Cricetulus griseus: one gene and its partner. The protein of the gene in region 1 purifies or fractionates together with the protein of each later gene. This does not show direct contact. Links are inferred from orthologs where the notes say so. Each region holds a gene or a part of one and is shown on either strand. Other genes may lie near its edges. The genes, in order: protein argonaute-3 and Tnrc6b.

The links.
Region 2: the proteins of protein argonaute-3 (region 1) and Tnrc6b purify together in Homo sapiens (affinity purification with mass spectrometry; 6 studies listed by BioGRID and IntAct, with this or other methods). This does not show direct contact. The link is inferred for Cricetulus griseus from reciprocal best matches to the Homo sapiens genes AGO3 and TNRC6B.

The regions. Positions count from the first base shown.
Region 1 is NC_048595.1:26,614,750-26,623,078, reverse strand, and holds the start of protein argonaute-3, read right to left. Parts: upstream 4,953-8,329; 5' UTR 4,765-4,952; coding exon 4,746-4,764; intron 1-4,745.
Region 2 is NC_048595.1:378,074,938-378,082,503, reverse strand, and holds part of Tnrc6b (trinucleotide repeat-containing gene 6B protein), read right to left. Parts: intron 5,342-7,566; coding exon 5,117-5,341; intron 4,714-5,116; coding exon 4,643-4,713; intron 2,821-4,642; coding exon 2,681-2,820; intron 633-2,680; coding exon 245-632; 3' UTR 1-244.

The DNA of each region.
Region 1 (8,329 bases):
TCTAATTTGATTTTTAAAATAAAAATTGGTTTATCATAATGACAGATTTGTGGTTGCTTTTAAATATCTTCATTATGTTTATAAAACCACATTTTAAGGTTAAATTTGTTTTGCTTTGTTTTCATCTGTTCTTTGAAATCTTGAAAGTTTTTGACACAGGGTCTCATTATATAGTCCTGGCTGACCTGAAACTTACGGTGCAGACTAGGCTGTCATAATCTTAGAGAGCCTTCCTTTATCCTCCCTGGGCTGGGTTTTCACCATACTGGGCCCTACATTATTTCTTTAAGAGGAAAAAGGGGGTGATTATAATCAAAGACCATTATATTCATATTTGAAAATGTTAAAATACAATCAACCATTTTTCATAATACAAACCTATGATTTCTTTAAAAGAAAAATTTTGAGACAAGGTCTCACTACGTATCCCAGGCTGGCTTTAGTCACAATTCTCCTTGCTCAGCCTTCCAGAGTGCTGAGATGACAGAACGAGTCTCATTCTTGATTTAGTTCTAGCTTCCTTTACATCAGCTTTCCTTTTCCAATTTAATGTCAAATGAGTTTTGTTTTTCCTGCACTTTGTCTATTCATTTATTCACTTACTTACTATTTTGTTGCATGTACACCCACATGCCTGTATCCTTGAATGTCTGTATTGATGGGACAACAAGTTCTTTTGCCTTTACCTACTGAGCCAGCCATCTTGCTGGCTTCCAACTGACTCAAAAAAAGTTATTAATAAAGAAATACAAGGGCTCTGGGACAATTATGTTCAGAGAGGAAGTAAAAGTTTAACTTAAGGAGGCTGGAGAGATAGCTCAACAGTTAGAGAACTTCCTGCTTTTGCAAAGGACCCAGGTTCAGTTCCCAGCACCCACAAATGGCTGCTCACTACACTCTGTAACTCCAGTTCCAGAGGGTTTCAATTCCCTCTTCTGGATTCTGTGAGCACCAGGCACACACATGGTATACAAAATACATACATGAAGTCAAATACATGGTAAAAGTAAATAACTCTTAAAAAGAAGTTTAACAAGATCTTCCCCTTTTTGCAAGATCGGATGAAAAATCAACTTACATATTAGTAACTTATGATAAATGTTTTCCCTCCATAAGCATCTTCCTCTTCAATGCTAGAGTGTGCTAGGAAAGCAATCCATAACTGAAACTCCCTGTCTTCCCATAAGTTACTAGGGAATACTTACATTTAAGTGTAATTCCTTTCTGAACAACAGGTGGACTTCACCTAAAATTATAAACTAGAGTACTAGATTTCAAAAAATAAATAGCATTTAAATAAACATTTCCTGATTTTCCTATTCTCATTTTATTTGAAAACAAAGCACAATTGTTTTAGACTAGAAATTCAGCTCAATTTTAATTAGACCAGAAAAACAGTTTCATCAGAAGTACCCTTCAGGGATCAAGGCAAGAAGCCTAAATTATTACTTCAAAAAATGAATTTGTCCATTTTTTGGTCAAATCAATGTTAAGACGGTATGGTAGTTTGAATGAAAATGGCCCCAGAGGTTCATAGGGACTGGTACTATTGGGAGGTGTGGCCTTGTTGGAGGAAGTGTGTCACTGGGGACAGACTTTGAGGTCTCAAATGTTCAAGCCAGGCCCAGTGTCTCAGTTCTTTTCCTGCTACCTATTGATCAAGATGTAGAACTCTTAGCTACCTCTCCAGCACCATGTCTGACTGTGTGCCACCATGACAATAATGGACTAAACCTCTGAAACTGTAAGCCAGCCCCAATTAAATGTTTTTGTTTGTACGAGTTTCCCTGGTAACCCAACTCGTTTCTTTTTAAGAGCTGCCAAAATCTTTGGGATGGAGAAATGATTCAGCTTTTAAGAGTATTTGTTTTAGTCAGGCAGTGGTGGCACACACCTTTAATCCCAGCACTCAGGAGGCTAAGGCAGGTGGATCTCTGTGAGTTTGAGGCCAGCCTAGTATACAGAGTGAGTTCCAGGACAGGCAGATCTACATAGAGAGACCCTGTCTCGAAAATACAAAAACAAAAATAAACCAACAAAAAGGTTATAGTGTCTCTTTATACCAATACAAACCCTAAGACAGATGGAACTAAATTAGTGGGCTGTATAAGAAAACACTGAAAAAATCCCTTACAAAGCTAGGCAGGGTGGCACACATCTTTAAACTACACAATGAAACCTAGTCTCAAAAATAAAATAAAACCCTTGTAATATTTCAGGTGAATAAGAAAGGAAGGATAAATATTTTTAGTGAGGAATGCGCCATCATAAAATTATTATACTTGTATTTAATGTCCTCTATTGCACTAAATAAAATTAAGATTTCTGTGTATCCACATAATAAACAATCTGTCGGTAAATGATTCCTGAGAATCTCCATACAAAAGAAAAACAGAATTTGAGAACCAAAAGTTTCAGTACTAACCTAACAGACTATTAAAGAATATCTAATTGTTTTGTTTTGTTTTGTTTTGTTGAGACAGAGTTTCTCTGTATAGCTTTGGAGCCTGTTCTGGAACTCACTCTGTAGACCAGGCTGATATTGAATTCACAAAGAACCGCCTGCCTCTGCCTCTGCCTTCCAAGTAGTGGGGTTAAAGACATGTGCCACAATGACTAGCCCAAAGAACCATTTTTGATGGTAACAGTCTTGCTCCTGATGCCAGACAACAGTCAATCATGCATAAACCTTATTGAAGAATGACTTTTATGTTTCAAGATGACCAAGCATGGTTGATAAACTGTTTTGTTTTAATTTTAGTTAGTTTGTTTGTTTGAGACAGGGTCTCATTATGTAGCCCCGGCTAGCCTGGAACTCTTTATGTAGACCAGGCTGGCCTCCAACTCAAAGAGATTGAACCATCTCTGCCTCCTGAGTGCTGGGACCAAAGTGTGAGCCACTATGCCATGCTAGTTAACTATATCTACCCTTATGTGAAGACTCATCAATTGTTCTATATTCTATCAGAAGAACACCCCAAAGGAAAAGGTAAAATTGATTTTCTGAACCAGGCTTTGCTAACTGTATCAGCTGACTAGGTGGTCTGATATCACAAGTACTTTCTAGATCGTATTTTCACATGAAAAACCTAAAGGGGGAATACCTCATTAGGGGGAGATATCTTCAAAAGTTTTAGGTAGATGATTAACAAAATATTTAATTTCATATTTGGTTTTTCAGGCTTAACAATAGAGTAGTTATGTAAAAGTCAGATCTCTGGAAATAATCAGATATCTTATAAAGTAAGAAAAGTACAAATAAAATGTAAAATTTAAGAACAAAGAAAAGACAATGGAAATACACAAATTGATAATAAGAGTCTAAAACTTCAGTCTAGACAAATTTTGCTTTTTAGAAAAATATGGAGAAGAGAAGCCGGGCATTGGTGGCACATGCCTTTAATCCCAGCACTCGGGAGGCAGAGGCAGGCGGATCTCTGTGGGTTCGAGATCAGCCTGGTCTACAAGAGCTAATTCCAGGACAGCCCCCAAAGCCACAGAGAAACCCTGTCTCGAAAAACCAAAAAAAAAAAAAAAAAAAAAAAAAAAAAAAAAAAAAAAAAAAAAGAAAGAAAGAAAGAGAGAAGAGAAAAAATGGAACATAAAGGGAAAAATGGTAGAAACAGAGTAGAAAGAGATTCCATGTAATCCAGAAAATGCCTTTTTGTATCCATTTTGACAATTATGTCACTAGTTTGTTTTTTTTTACATTAGTTTACATTACATATTTGGGGACTTTCAAATTGGCAAGGGAAGATATGAAATTCAGGGATTTGTTATACAATAATAACAAGGCAATCCCCCCAAATATTATAGAAACTATACCATTACTGATCTTGTGGATGAAGAGAACTTTCAAATTTAGGGAACAAGGGTGATTACTTGGTAAGCAAACCGTTATGTAACACCTATTTCTTGTTGCTTTATCAGTTACTTCAGAATCGCTGACCTTTCTTTCTTTCTTTCCCTCTCTCTCTCTCTCTCTCTCTCTCTCTCTCTCTCTCGTCTCTCTCTCTCTCTCTCTCTCTCTCTCTCTCTCTCTCCTCTCTTTCTTTCTTAGGACAAGTACTGTCCAGGCTGGCTTCCTTTCTCAAGGCTGCCATTTTTCTCTCCAGAGACAAAACCGTTTTCCTACACCCCAGATTTCCAGGTATGTGGACAACTGCTGCCGTAGGGAACAGAAAATCGGGGGAAACAGTGCCAACATTCTGAAGATCTACCTTCTCACATAAGTGGTGATCCAGACCGAGAGGACCTCGCCAAGCTCCTCGGAAAACTACATACCACACTGCCACAGACAGAGTGAGTCTGGGGATGCAAGCAATGCCGTCCTGCATCTGACTTAAACTTAAGCCCATCGGTGATCTCAGAATACCTTCAGACTACTTTAAGAGGTAGAAAAGGGGACTGACTATCCAGCCTACATGGGACGCGCGACCCGGCTAAGGGATAAGCGCTGCCTTGACGTTTCCAAATGGAATTACAAAAGCAAGGGCAAACTCCTCTGTATCCTCAGGGGAGAAGAAGCACTCCAGGGGGATGACATCGCCTAGATAAACCCAAACTTAAACCCTCCTGGTAGTTTTGCCAACTCAGTGGCCCCGGGAGGGTAGCTGCGGTGCTGTGGAGAAGCCAGCGGCGTTGGGCCCGAAAACCAACGGCTCCCTTAATGAAGGCGCAAGGATGCTCGGGGGACGACCGTTGGGTGACGACCCTACCTGCCCCGTCCGGCAGCCCCGACTTACCTGCGGAGCCGATTTCCATTCATGGAGCTGGGGGCAGTGCTTCACGAGAGAACGGTGCGGCCACTGAGGCGAGGAAGGGGCGCCCTGCGAAAGCTCAGGGCAGAAGAGCCACTGTCGGGAGACAGCCCGCAGCTAGGCGAGAACAGAGAGAGGCGTGAGGCGAGGACGCTGAAGCCCGGTCCGGAACTTGCGTCGCACACGGTTGCTGACGCGTGCACAGCTCCCCAAACCGCCGGCCACCGCCGTTGCTCGCTCTCCCGGGTTGCCCCCGGAAGCCCGCCCGCGTCAGTTCCGCTCCCCGGACCGTGCCCCGCTCGCGGGGTCCGCAACTCGCCTGGAGCCGGATCTGTGCGGTGACAACGTCCGAGCCGGCCTGGCCAGCGCATGGAGGACTCTGGGGAGGTGTGGGAGGGTGAGCGAGCGGGTGACAGGCCGGGGCGGAGCCGTGAGAGCGCGGCCGCCCAGCACCCGCTGTGCCTGACGGTGACAATCCCGAGCCAGAGGCCAGCCTCCCCCGTGACAGCCTTCCAGGCGGGGACCGGTCGGGGCCGCTGCCTGAGGCGACGTCACTGCCAGCCCCGAGGAGCTTACCTGAGGGACAGTTCTACCTGAGAATGACAGATGACCATCCAAGGACATCCTCCCTCCTAGCTCCGCCTGCCACGCCCGCTCTGAGCACAAGTACTAGGCGGTAACCACAAGAGATTTCGCTAAGTACCCGAGGTTGCTTTGACAACTTTTTTTTTTTTAAAGATGGTTAAAATAAATTCAATGTAGTTTTAAAACAGAAGACTAAGAAACAGGACATTACATAGAGTACAAGAAGGAATCATTTCTGTGTTTAAACACTCTCCTAATCCCCTTGAAGAACATAAACTCCCTTCTGGCGTTAAAGCACCTGGCTAAGGAGCCAAGGCCTTTTCCCTCTGGACCCCTCAAGACTGTATTAGACTAAGCTGGTCCACTTCCAGCTCCCCCGACCTGGTCAGGTGCTTTTCTGCTGAATTGGAGCCTTTGGGTTCCCTTGGCCAGGAATTCTCCCTTTCCCATCCCATGCCAAACTTTCACTTAAGTCATCTCCGGTGGCCTTTCCTGGACACTGGTCTACCCGATCTGTAGGATGTGGACTACTTTTTGACCTGCCTCCAACCCATCAGAATCGGAGGCCAGATCCAGCACATGCAAGCAGACCATCCTTTTAAAATTACTTAGCTTAGTGAAAACAGATACTATTTTATGCAGGCTTAGCAGTGACTCATTATTTTCCCTGTGTCCCAATTAACCAGTGATGTTTTAACTTTAAATATGCATATATAACATTTTAAAAAGAAACGTTATTTTCAGGATCCTTTCCCTCCCGGTTATATGGACTTTTGGATCAGCCACTTTATCTCTTTGGGCTTCAGTTCCCTCATCAGAAAGATCGACATGTATAGTGCACAGAAAGCTCAGAAGAAACTCTCCCAAATGTTAATAACAAAAATATTTACATGCTGACAATTTTGATGCACTTAATGGACATGCTTACTATACAATAAATGGTGGGGACTCCAAGCCCCATCTCACTTTCTTCTTCCTGTTGACTGAAAATGACCTTCCAAATGTTTAAAATATCAAATCACTAGATCCATCGGCACATCTTAAAAGTCAATCCAGAGCTTGATGGCATGATCAAAGCCTGAAGAGTGAATCCCAAATTTGTGCAAGGGCCTATTATACCCTCATCTCTTGATTCTGTGACTACTTCCTTAAATGAATGCAAGCTTACCTAGCTTCTTCTAGAAAACACAGTGTGGTCACAAAATGAGTGGTTTTGTTTTATTTTGGATGTGTACAGATGTTTGGTCTGCATATAACTCTATCGGTGTGTGTGTGGTGCTCACGGAGGCCAGGAGAGGGTGTCAGACTAGAGTTAGTCAGTTGTGAGCAGCCATGTGGGTGCTGGTAATAGAACCTGGGTCTTTTGGAAGAGCAGCCCATGACCTTGACCACTGATCCACCTCTTCAGCCCCAAGGTAGTGTCTTTTTGAACACTTAAACAAGATCTGGGCCCTAAGATTCAATAAAATCTAACAAATGTCTCTGATGTGTTCTTGCCTTCTTCTGCTATGCAGAACCACACCTCTTTAGAGTAAGCCCATGTGAAAGGCTCATGAATTAAAATTTAAAGCAGGGAGGTGAAAAGGTCTTGGAGGTTCTTGCCAATACAAAAGTATATGAGGTTTTCCCCTGACCAAATACTGTTTTGAGGTAACATACTTCCAAAGGTCACAAAGGTTTGTGTATCTTGTTAACTGCCACAGCTTCAGTGCCTACAACAATGCTTACTGCTATCCTGTAAGAACACAATCAGTTTTTTTAAAAAAAGAAGAGCACATTAAATAACTGGATGAATGGATGGATGGACGGATGGATGGAACTCAAGGACAGGGTTCAAGAAGCAGGCTAAAACCCTGGCTTTATTCCTGATAGCACTGATTGTTCTCAGAAGGAGAACTACAAAATACAAAATCTCAGATGCAGAGATGTCTGTGCCCCCTGAGCACCTCAGCAGCCATCAGACAATGAAAATTTCTTTAAATACTATACAAAAAGCATTAACTAGAAAAGTAAAAAAGGCAATAAATTTAACCTTAAATCAATAAATTGAACATAAAAACGAAAAACTTTTCCTATCCAAAGTGAAAGGCAAGCCATGGATTAGGAAAAATTAATTGATATATATATATATACATATATATATGTATATATATATGAATACACACACATATATGCACATACATATCTCCAATAAAGAACTTGAATTTTATAAGCTTTTATAGCCCGAGACAAACAATACAAATTTAAAATGAGTAAAATATATGAACAACTTAATGATATCAGGATAGCAAATAGGTATATGGATACATGACAGACGCCAAAGCAAAGCACAATGAAATACCAAATACTCAGTGCACTTAAAGGATAGAGTACCCAACTACCTGCTTTAATATGTAGGAAGACCTCAGGCTTACCAATGGCTCGGGGACTAAGAATGCTCACTTTCTTCCCAACTACCACTATTCTAATACCTTAGTGCGTCTATACTCTACTTCCTGTGTTAGATAAGAAGAACTAGAAAAAACGACAGCCTCTACCAGCAGTTTCTGCAATAATGACTTGGCACTTGCAGCAAACACAATATAAAACAGGCTTTAGGAACACCCAGAGCCTAGACTGAAGGCTCTTTGCTACTCACCATAAGACAGGGTATCCACCCAGTAGTCCTTACCTGATTCTTTCTTGTTAGACCTAACTAACCTTCCTAATCCTTATGATACAATGGCTAACTCCTATTTAACTCCTATAAGGGCTCATTTTTGCTTTGCTAGTGGCATGAGAAAATACATGAAGCCTGAATTGATAGGGCATCCAGAGGAAGACTTCCTTGTTTTAGAATGAACACTTGACAGGGGTGGGGAAATAAGTCCTACTAACTTCTGTTAGAAATTGTTTTGTCATCATTTCCTTCCTGGAATTACAGTAGCTATCCTGAGACCATTATATGAACCGATAACACACAGGATAGCAGAGCAAAAATAAAT
Region 2 (7,566 bases), about 350 Mb from region 1:
AAGTATTTCAAGAGTGATATGTTCTCTTTTTGGATTCATATTCCAAACGAAAAAACTGAAGTTTTAAGGGAGGCAACTATGTGCTCAGACAGTCTGTCAATGACCCACCTTTTTTTCTCTCTCCGTTTTCTTTTTTCCTTTTAAAAATGTATTTATTGCAAGTTGAAAAAAAAAACGAAAAGGTCAAGTTAGTGCTGCTGCTGTTCCAAAAAAGGTCACGAGGTCAGAGTTGAAAGTTCTAAGTTCAGATTGAATCCGACCCTCCTCCCAGAAGGTCACCAGGTAGTAAAGGAGCAGGGCTGCCCATCCTATGGGGATCTTCCACTGTTGAGACTCCCCACAAGCTAGAAGAATAGTTTGGGGGGCCCCACAAGGAAGTGCCAGCAAGATCGGCCCCACTGCTGCCACCAGCGCTGCTGCTCCACTGCCCGAGCCCGGTGGACCCACCAAAAAGGTTCAGCGCAGGTCCAACAGGGTCTGCCTGGTTCTGGCTGGTCTCCAGTGACTGCCATCCTGTGGCAGGTGCGCTTGGGGTTGCTGCAGGTGTAGGGGGCTGAGCTTGAGCCAGAAAGCGGCTGACTTCATCCTCAGTGGCAAACTCGGCCAGGATGGTAGTGTTTCCCAACACACACCTGGAGGAGGAAGAAGAGAGCAAGGTGACCTAAAAGATGACAAGCACGGGAGGGGTCAATGCTGTCAGCCCTTTGCCACTGTGTTTGCTTGCTAATTGATTGACTGAGGTGGGGGTCTCACATAGCCCAGGCTGGCCTTCTGCTTCTACCTTCCAAGTGCTGAAATTTACAGGTGTGTGCCATTATGCTTGGTTTGTGCAGTATTGGAGACTGATCCTAGGGATTTATGTATGCTAAGCAAGAACTAAGCTACATTTCCAGTCCATCTGTATGGTTGGTTGCGTGTGTGTGTGTGTGTGTGTGTGTGTGTGTGTGTGTGTGTGTGTGTGTGTGTGTGTGTGTGTGTGTGTGTGTCGGAGACAGAGATAAGAGACACAGAGTAAATATAGAGCACAGAGGATATTTTGGGCAATGGCACTAACCTGAACGACACAATGATGTGATATTGGATCTATCAACATATATTTGTTCACATCAACCACCAACAGTGATCCAGAATGTAACCATAACCCTAATGTAAACTGTGGACTTTGGTGGATTAGTTACCAATGAATGTTCATAAACTGTAGCAAATGGGCCATTCTAGTGAGTGATATTGATAAGGTATTATTGAGGGAGTGGGTCAGGGTTATTATGGGAAGTTGTCCCATCCTCTCAATTTTGCTGTGAATCTAAAGTATTTTAAAAAAATCCCAAGTCTTCAAAAGCAAGAAGATTGTCAGGTTTCTTTTGTTTTGTTTTGTTTGCTCCATGTGAGATAAAGAAGGACATCCACTAATATCAGGTAAGCCAGTGCCAACACCTAGAGCACCATTTCCATCCCAGGGGAAGGACTTGCTGCTGGGGCTTGACTATCACTTGTTTGTGTTCTCTGTGGATTTTTGTCATGGTGTCTGTGGCCCAATGGAGTCAACATTTTTCTGTTCACCAGGGAAAGAGGATAGTCAGAGTCTGATCCACTCCTGTCCACTTCATGCAAAACCCCGTTACATATAATTTCTTCTTTGGGCTGGGTGTGGTGGCATACACCTTTAACCCCAGCACTTGGGAGGCAGAAGAGGCAGATCTCTATGAGTTTAAGGCCAGCCTGGTTTCCACAGTGAGGTTCAGGATAGCCCAGGGCTACACAGAGAAACCCTGTCTCAAGATGTCAAACAAAGCTGGGTGTTGGTAGCACATGCTTTTAGTCCTGGTACTTGAGAGGCAGAGGTAGGAGGATCTCTATGAGTTTAAAGCCAGCCTGGTCTACAAAGTGAGTTCCAGGACAGGCTCCAAAGCAACACAGAGAAACTCTGTCTTGAAAAACAAAACAAGAGCAAAAACCACAAAACCAAAACAACAACAAAGAGTCAAAGAAGGCCAGGTAGTTCAGATAGTGGTGGCACATGACTCTAACCCCAGTACTCCGGAGGCAGAGGCAGGTGGATTATGATTTGTAGGTCAGCCACAGAGTGAGTTCCAGGAAAATCAGGGCTACACAGGGAAACCCTGTATTGAAAAACCAAAACCAACCAACCAACCAACCCACCCACCACCCCAAACAAAAAAACAAATAAAATTTCTTATCTACATGTTACCACAGTAAGCAGCTAGATTCTACCATGAAAAATAATAGCATTTGGGATGTTTTGCATTTTCATAAACATTGTTTTTGTTTGTGGTACAATCTATTTACTGTACAAATTATTTACATTTGAAGTTCTGATTATGAGCCTATGACATACGTTAGACAATGCAAACAGAGTTAGGTAGAAAGACTGGCACACCTTAGTATTTGCATGTATACATGACTGAGGTTCTTCTTTTATTTTGGTTTTTTGAGACAGGGTTTCTCTGTGTAGCTTTAGAGCCTATCCCGGCACTCGCTCTGGAAACCAGGCTGGCCTCGAACTCAGAGAGATCCGCCTGCCTCTGCCTCCTGAGTGCTGGGATTAAAGTTTGCGCCACCAATGCCTGGCCATGACTGAGGTTCTTTTGTGCATGTTTGTCATTGTTCAGGGCCAGAACACTCCTGTGTGCATCATGCGTCTGCAGGATACAGTACTCACATGTGCAATGCAGTCTGGGCCTTGGCTGCCTCTTGTTTGGTGCTGTACCGGATCAGGGCAGTGCCCTGGGTTAGATTCAGATGGAATGTCAGCAGTGGACCATGCTGCATGCAGATCGTTCTCAAGGTTGACCCATCAATCTAAGAGATAACAACACTTGTGAGCTAAGATGTAGAAGAGGCATGGGAAATTAATTCTAGGACAATTAAAGAACGACGCTAAGACCCATTATTCCTATTTTGTAATGTTTCTATATAAAAATAACTAAAAATAAAAACATAAGTGCCATAAAACATAAGCCTCATTTTTAAAAGAGATCAACAAACACGTGTGTGCTGATTTGTAGAGCTCAAAAGGACAGAAATGAGAATTAAAGATACCATGCAAAGTTATCAACATCATTACTAACACTTTATTTTTTCTGCCTCCTCAATAAATAATCTCACAGAGACAGACAAGAAAAGTACTGACAGTTAAAACTGGCCTAGTCCAAAAACAATTCACTCCAATACTATTACATTCCTCTGACCATATAAAGAGGGGAACTCCTTTTTGACTAAGTCCATTTGACCAAGGGCTGAAGGGATTATGGATAATTTTTCCAACACAGGAGTTTTATGAACAAACCTATTTACTCTATGGATTAATTTTCAACAAGATCTTAAATATATTTATTTAAGCCTTAATTCCAACACTTCAGTTCACTGTATTGGAAAAGGAATGTTACAATTGGGAATGCCTTAAAAAGCTGTGTAATGTGGTAGAACAGTGGCCTAACATACATAAGGTCCTAAGTTCCATTTTCAGCACCAGTGGGAAGTCTGAAGAATAAAACTCAGCAGTTCATGTTAGCTCTTCACAGAAAATAATCGTAAGTACGTCAGCAATTGGCACAAATTGCTTTTCAGGAGACAGATTTCCTTTAAACACATTTTTGGTGATGGAAAGTCAACTGCCCCATGCATCAACTTTGCTCTACTAACCACTTTAAACTAGGAGTGACATTAGTATCTTTACTAGGCAGCTCTAATCCCCCCCCCTTTTTTTTGAGACAGGGTTTCTCTGTATTGCTTTGGAGGTTGTCCTGGAACTTGCTATATCTATAGACCAGGCTGGCCTCGAACTCACAGAGATCCACCTTCCCTTATATCTGGTGTGCAGATATAAATGGAAGCAGAATGTTGTATACATAATAAATAAATAAAAAGATCTTAGAGTGTTCATTTAAAAAAAAAAAACAAAACAGAAATGCATTTCTCCATAGAGAATCCTATTAGACACTAGGATGTTAAAAGGCCTAAGAAATTTCCAACTGGAACTTTACCAGCTTGGCCATCTTCCAAGTCCTTTCTGGTAACAAGTTTTTGTATGTGGTTAAAACATACCATCCAAGTGGCATATCTATACAACACATTTCCTGACCAGTAGGTCATACGACCTCATTCTCACTGCTTCATAGCGCCTGCTCACCTCTAGCACCAGGAGGGTGAGGGTAAGGGTGAGGGTGAGGCCTAGGAGCCAGCACCCATCTTGTTGAAAGGACCTCTGCAGTGGCCATGAAATAAATTTGCTTTCTTTATAGGCTAGAAGAAGGCATCAGACCTCCTACATCTGGAGTTACAGGCATCTGATGTGGGTGCTGGGAATAAAACTGGGTGTTCCGCATAACCAGCAAGCTTTCTTAACAGTCATCTGTTAAGCCATGAGCCATCTCTCTAGTCTCATAAATAAGCTTTAGTATCTGCCAAGCTCCTCTACTGTTTCTTCCCTTTTTTGTGAGACAAAAGTTCCATGTACCCCTAGAACTTGCTATGTAGACCAGGCTGGCCTTGAACTCACAGACATCTCCGTGCGTCTGCCTCCCAAGTGCTGGGGACTAAAGGTGTGTGCCACAATGCCCAGTTTCTCTTTCTTTAAATAAAATCAAGCCTTATCTAGAAAAGCACAAGAAAATAAGGTTACCTGTGGAGTGAGATTGTGAAGAACCAGCCAGTAACTAGCACGGACAGAGCCACCATCACTCCAGGTAGAGGCTGCAAACAACAGAAAAAGGATGAGGAAGAGTGAGAAAAACAAAACAAAAAGAACACCCGAATCACCAACATTCTCAGGGAACTATAAAGGGGAACATTTTCATTCAGACCGTCTGTCTGTCTGTCTGTCTAACACTGACCTTCATGGTCTCTTCTAGTCCTTGATCCCAGTAAATTCATTTGCTTTTTGTGAGATAGTATTCCCTCCCACTGTCCTCCCCCTCTACAGTTGCTCATTTGTACTTCAAGTACCCTATAGAGGTTCTGGGTCCCTTCATCTGTACTGATTGCAACTTTTCAATCAAAAGATAGTTTTTCTTCTACCAGACAACCATGCTCTCCTCCATGGTCAGCCCTCCCCATAGTGCTAAACAGCTATTCCTGCTTAGCAGATCCTTCTCACCCGAGGCAATCCGAGAGTCCTGTGTCCCCCACCCCCTGACTGATCTGGGTGCTGTGCTGCTCCAGGGAGATGCCGGTTTGGGGTTGGTCAGGCCAGGAGGTGGGCGGGGCAGCGGTGTAGTGTTCCTGGAGGAGATGTGGTTTTTCCACATCTTGTTGGAGAGATGAGTGGGGTTGTGTCCTATGGGATCTGGGGACCACGTGGATTTGTAATCAGGGAACTTTGCTGTGAAAAGAGAAAAGTCAGTAAGCATCAGGTTACATGGGCATTTGCCCACAAATAGACACAAATTTTATCTGCACACACACATATATATTCTATAACTGTTTCAAAACATTGAAAAGTAGAAGGAAGCATATATATATTTGTTTTTCGAGACAGGGTTTCTCTGTGGCTCTTGTAGACCAGGCTGGTCTCGAAATCACAGAGATCCGCCTGCCTCTGCCTCCCGAGTGCTGGGATTAAAGACATGTGCCACCACCACCCGACAGGAAGCATATATTTTAAGAGGAGCAGTATGAGCTGAGCAGTGGTAGTAAATGCCTTTAATCCCAGCAACAGGGAGGCAGAGGCAGGCGGATTTCAGTGAATTCGAAGCCAGCTTGGTCTATAGAGTGAATGCCAGGACAGCCAGGGCCACACAGAGAAACCCTGTGTGTCAGGAAAAAAAGAAAGGGGGGGGGACCAGTATGAAAATAATTGTTCTTAGAGCATGCTGAATATGAAATTTTAAAATGACTTTGAACCAACCAAGATTTAATAAGGTAACTAATCTCCTACTACTTTCATGGGTAAATACAACTGAAAAGAGAAGATAAATTCATGGAGAAAGTATTCCTAAGGAGGTCAAGATAATAGACAGGGTTATTAGACTGCTAACACAAATAGAATTGGAGTACTCACTCAATGTTCACTGACTACCATGAAAAGCAAAACAAAACAAAACTAGAAAATAATGCACTGCTTGTGCCTTGACACCAACATTGATTTTAAAAATAATCAATAAGGCTAGAGCAATAGCTCAGTGGTTTGGAATACTTGTTACTGTTGCAAAAATCTGAGTTTGATTTCCATCATGGTGGCTCACAACCACCGAAACTCCAGAGGACCCCATGCCCTCTTTTGACATCTGTGGGCACTCTGGCACATATGTGGTACACATATATACAAGCAAACATTCACACACATACAATAAAATAAACAAATCTAAAACAAAGTTATCAAATAAGTACTATTGCTTACTATGCTTAAGGTACCTGACAGTAATGTAGATAACACAATTATCTTGCAGAGCCTCTGGTTTAGATGGGAAACAGAACAACCAAATTTTTAACCTTGGCAACAGAACATATGTTCAATACACAGAAGACAGAAAGCATTAGGCTGCTGGCAGAGGCTCTGCAAAGATAGATCTGAAGGGTTTACATTAAAGGATGTGCTCAGGGATGCAGGAAAAAGAAAACTCAGGTTCAGTGTAAGGCCTTTCCAGTTTTAATGGGGGCAGAGAAGTAAGAGGCCACAGGTACATTATGACTAAGTAAGCTGCAACAAAGTTTCCAAAAGACTCAGCACAAACTAGGGTGACACCAGAGCGGAACAAGTGAGTGGAGAGGAAAATTACAGCTGTCAAATATATTCCTGAGAGTGAGAGTCAGGGCCTGGGACCCAGGGAATGAGGAAGAGAGGAAAGGTGAGGTAAATAGTAAGGGACTGAGCTAGGGAGAAAAGAAAGTTATAAGGATAGGCAAGTTCAGTCTTAGGGAAGTCTCAGGTCAATGTCCAACTGCAAGGAGATAATTCCTGAAATCTGGGCTTTTATAGGAATGAGAGAACTAGATGAGTGCCAGAGAAGGTAGCCACGTGTCTATGTGGGCAAGCTGCTGGGGAGACTGAGGCAGAGGACTGCTTCAGCCCAAGGGAACGCAGACCAACCTAGGTAACTAGTATCTCAGTACTTAGCCAGTTTTGGCACATCCCTATGATAAGAGCATGTGAGAGGAGGAGTGAAATGAATGTGAGGTTAGCCTGAGCTACGCGAGACCCTGTATCAAAAGAAAACAACCTAAAGGGTTCTTAGTCAAACAAATGCAAGCATTAGACAAAAATTTCATCATTTCGTTATTATATTATGGTGTACATGTACAGGTGTGAATGTGGGTGTACATGTGGACAACATGGTACATATGTGGAGGTTCTCTCCTATTGTGGGATCTGGGGATCAGACCAGGTCATCCGGTTTGTGTAATAAGTACTGTGCCAGCTTACAGGTAAATGAAGTCCTGTTAAGTATGACACAGGGAAATACAACAATATTTTTGTTTGGTATTTGACATAGGGTCTTAACCCATGCCAGCCTGCAGGAATTCATTCAAAATCATCTCAGTTTATCTATTGAATGAGGGTAACCCATTTACACAGTAGGAGAAACTCAAAAAGGAGCTCACGCTAAA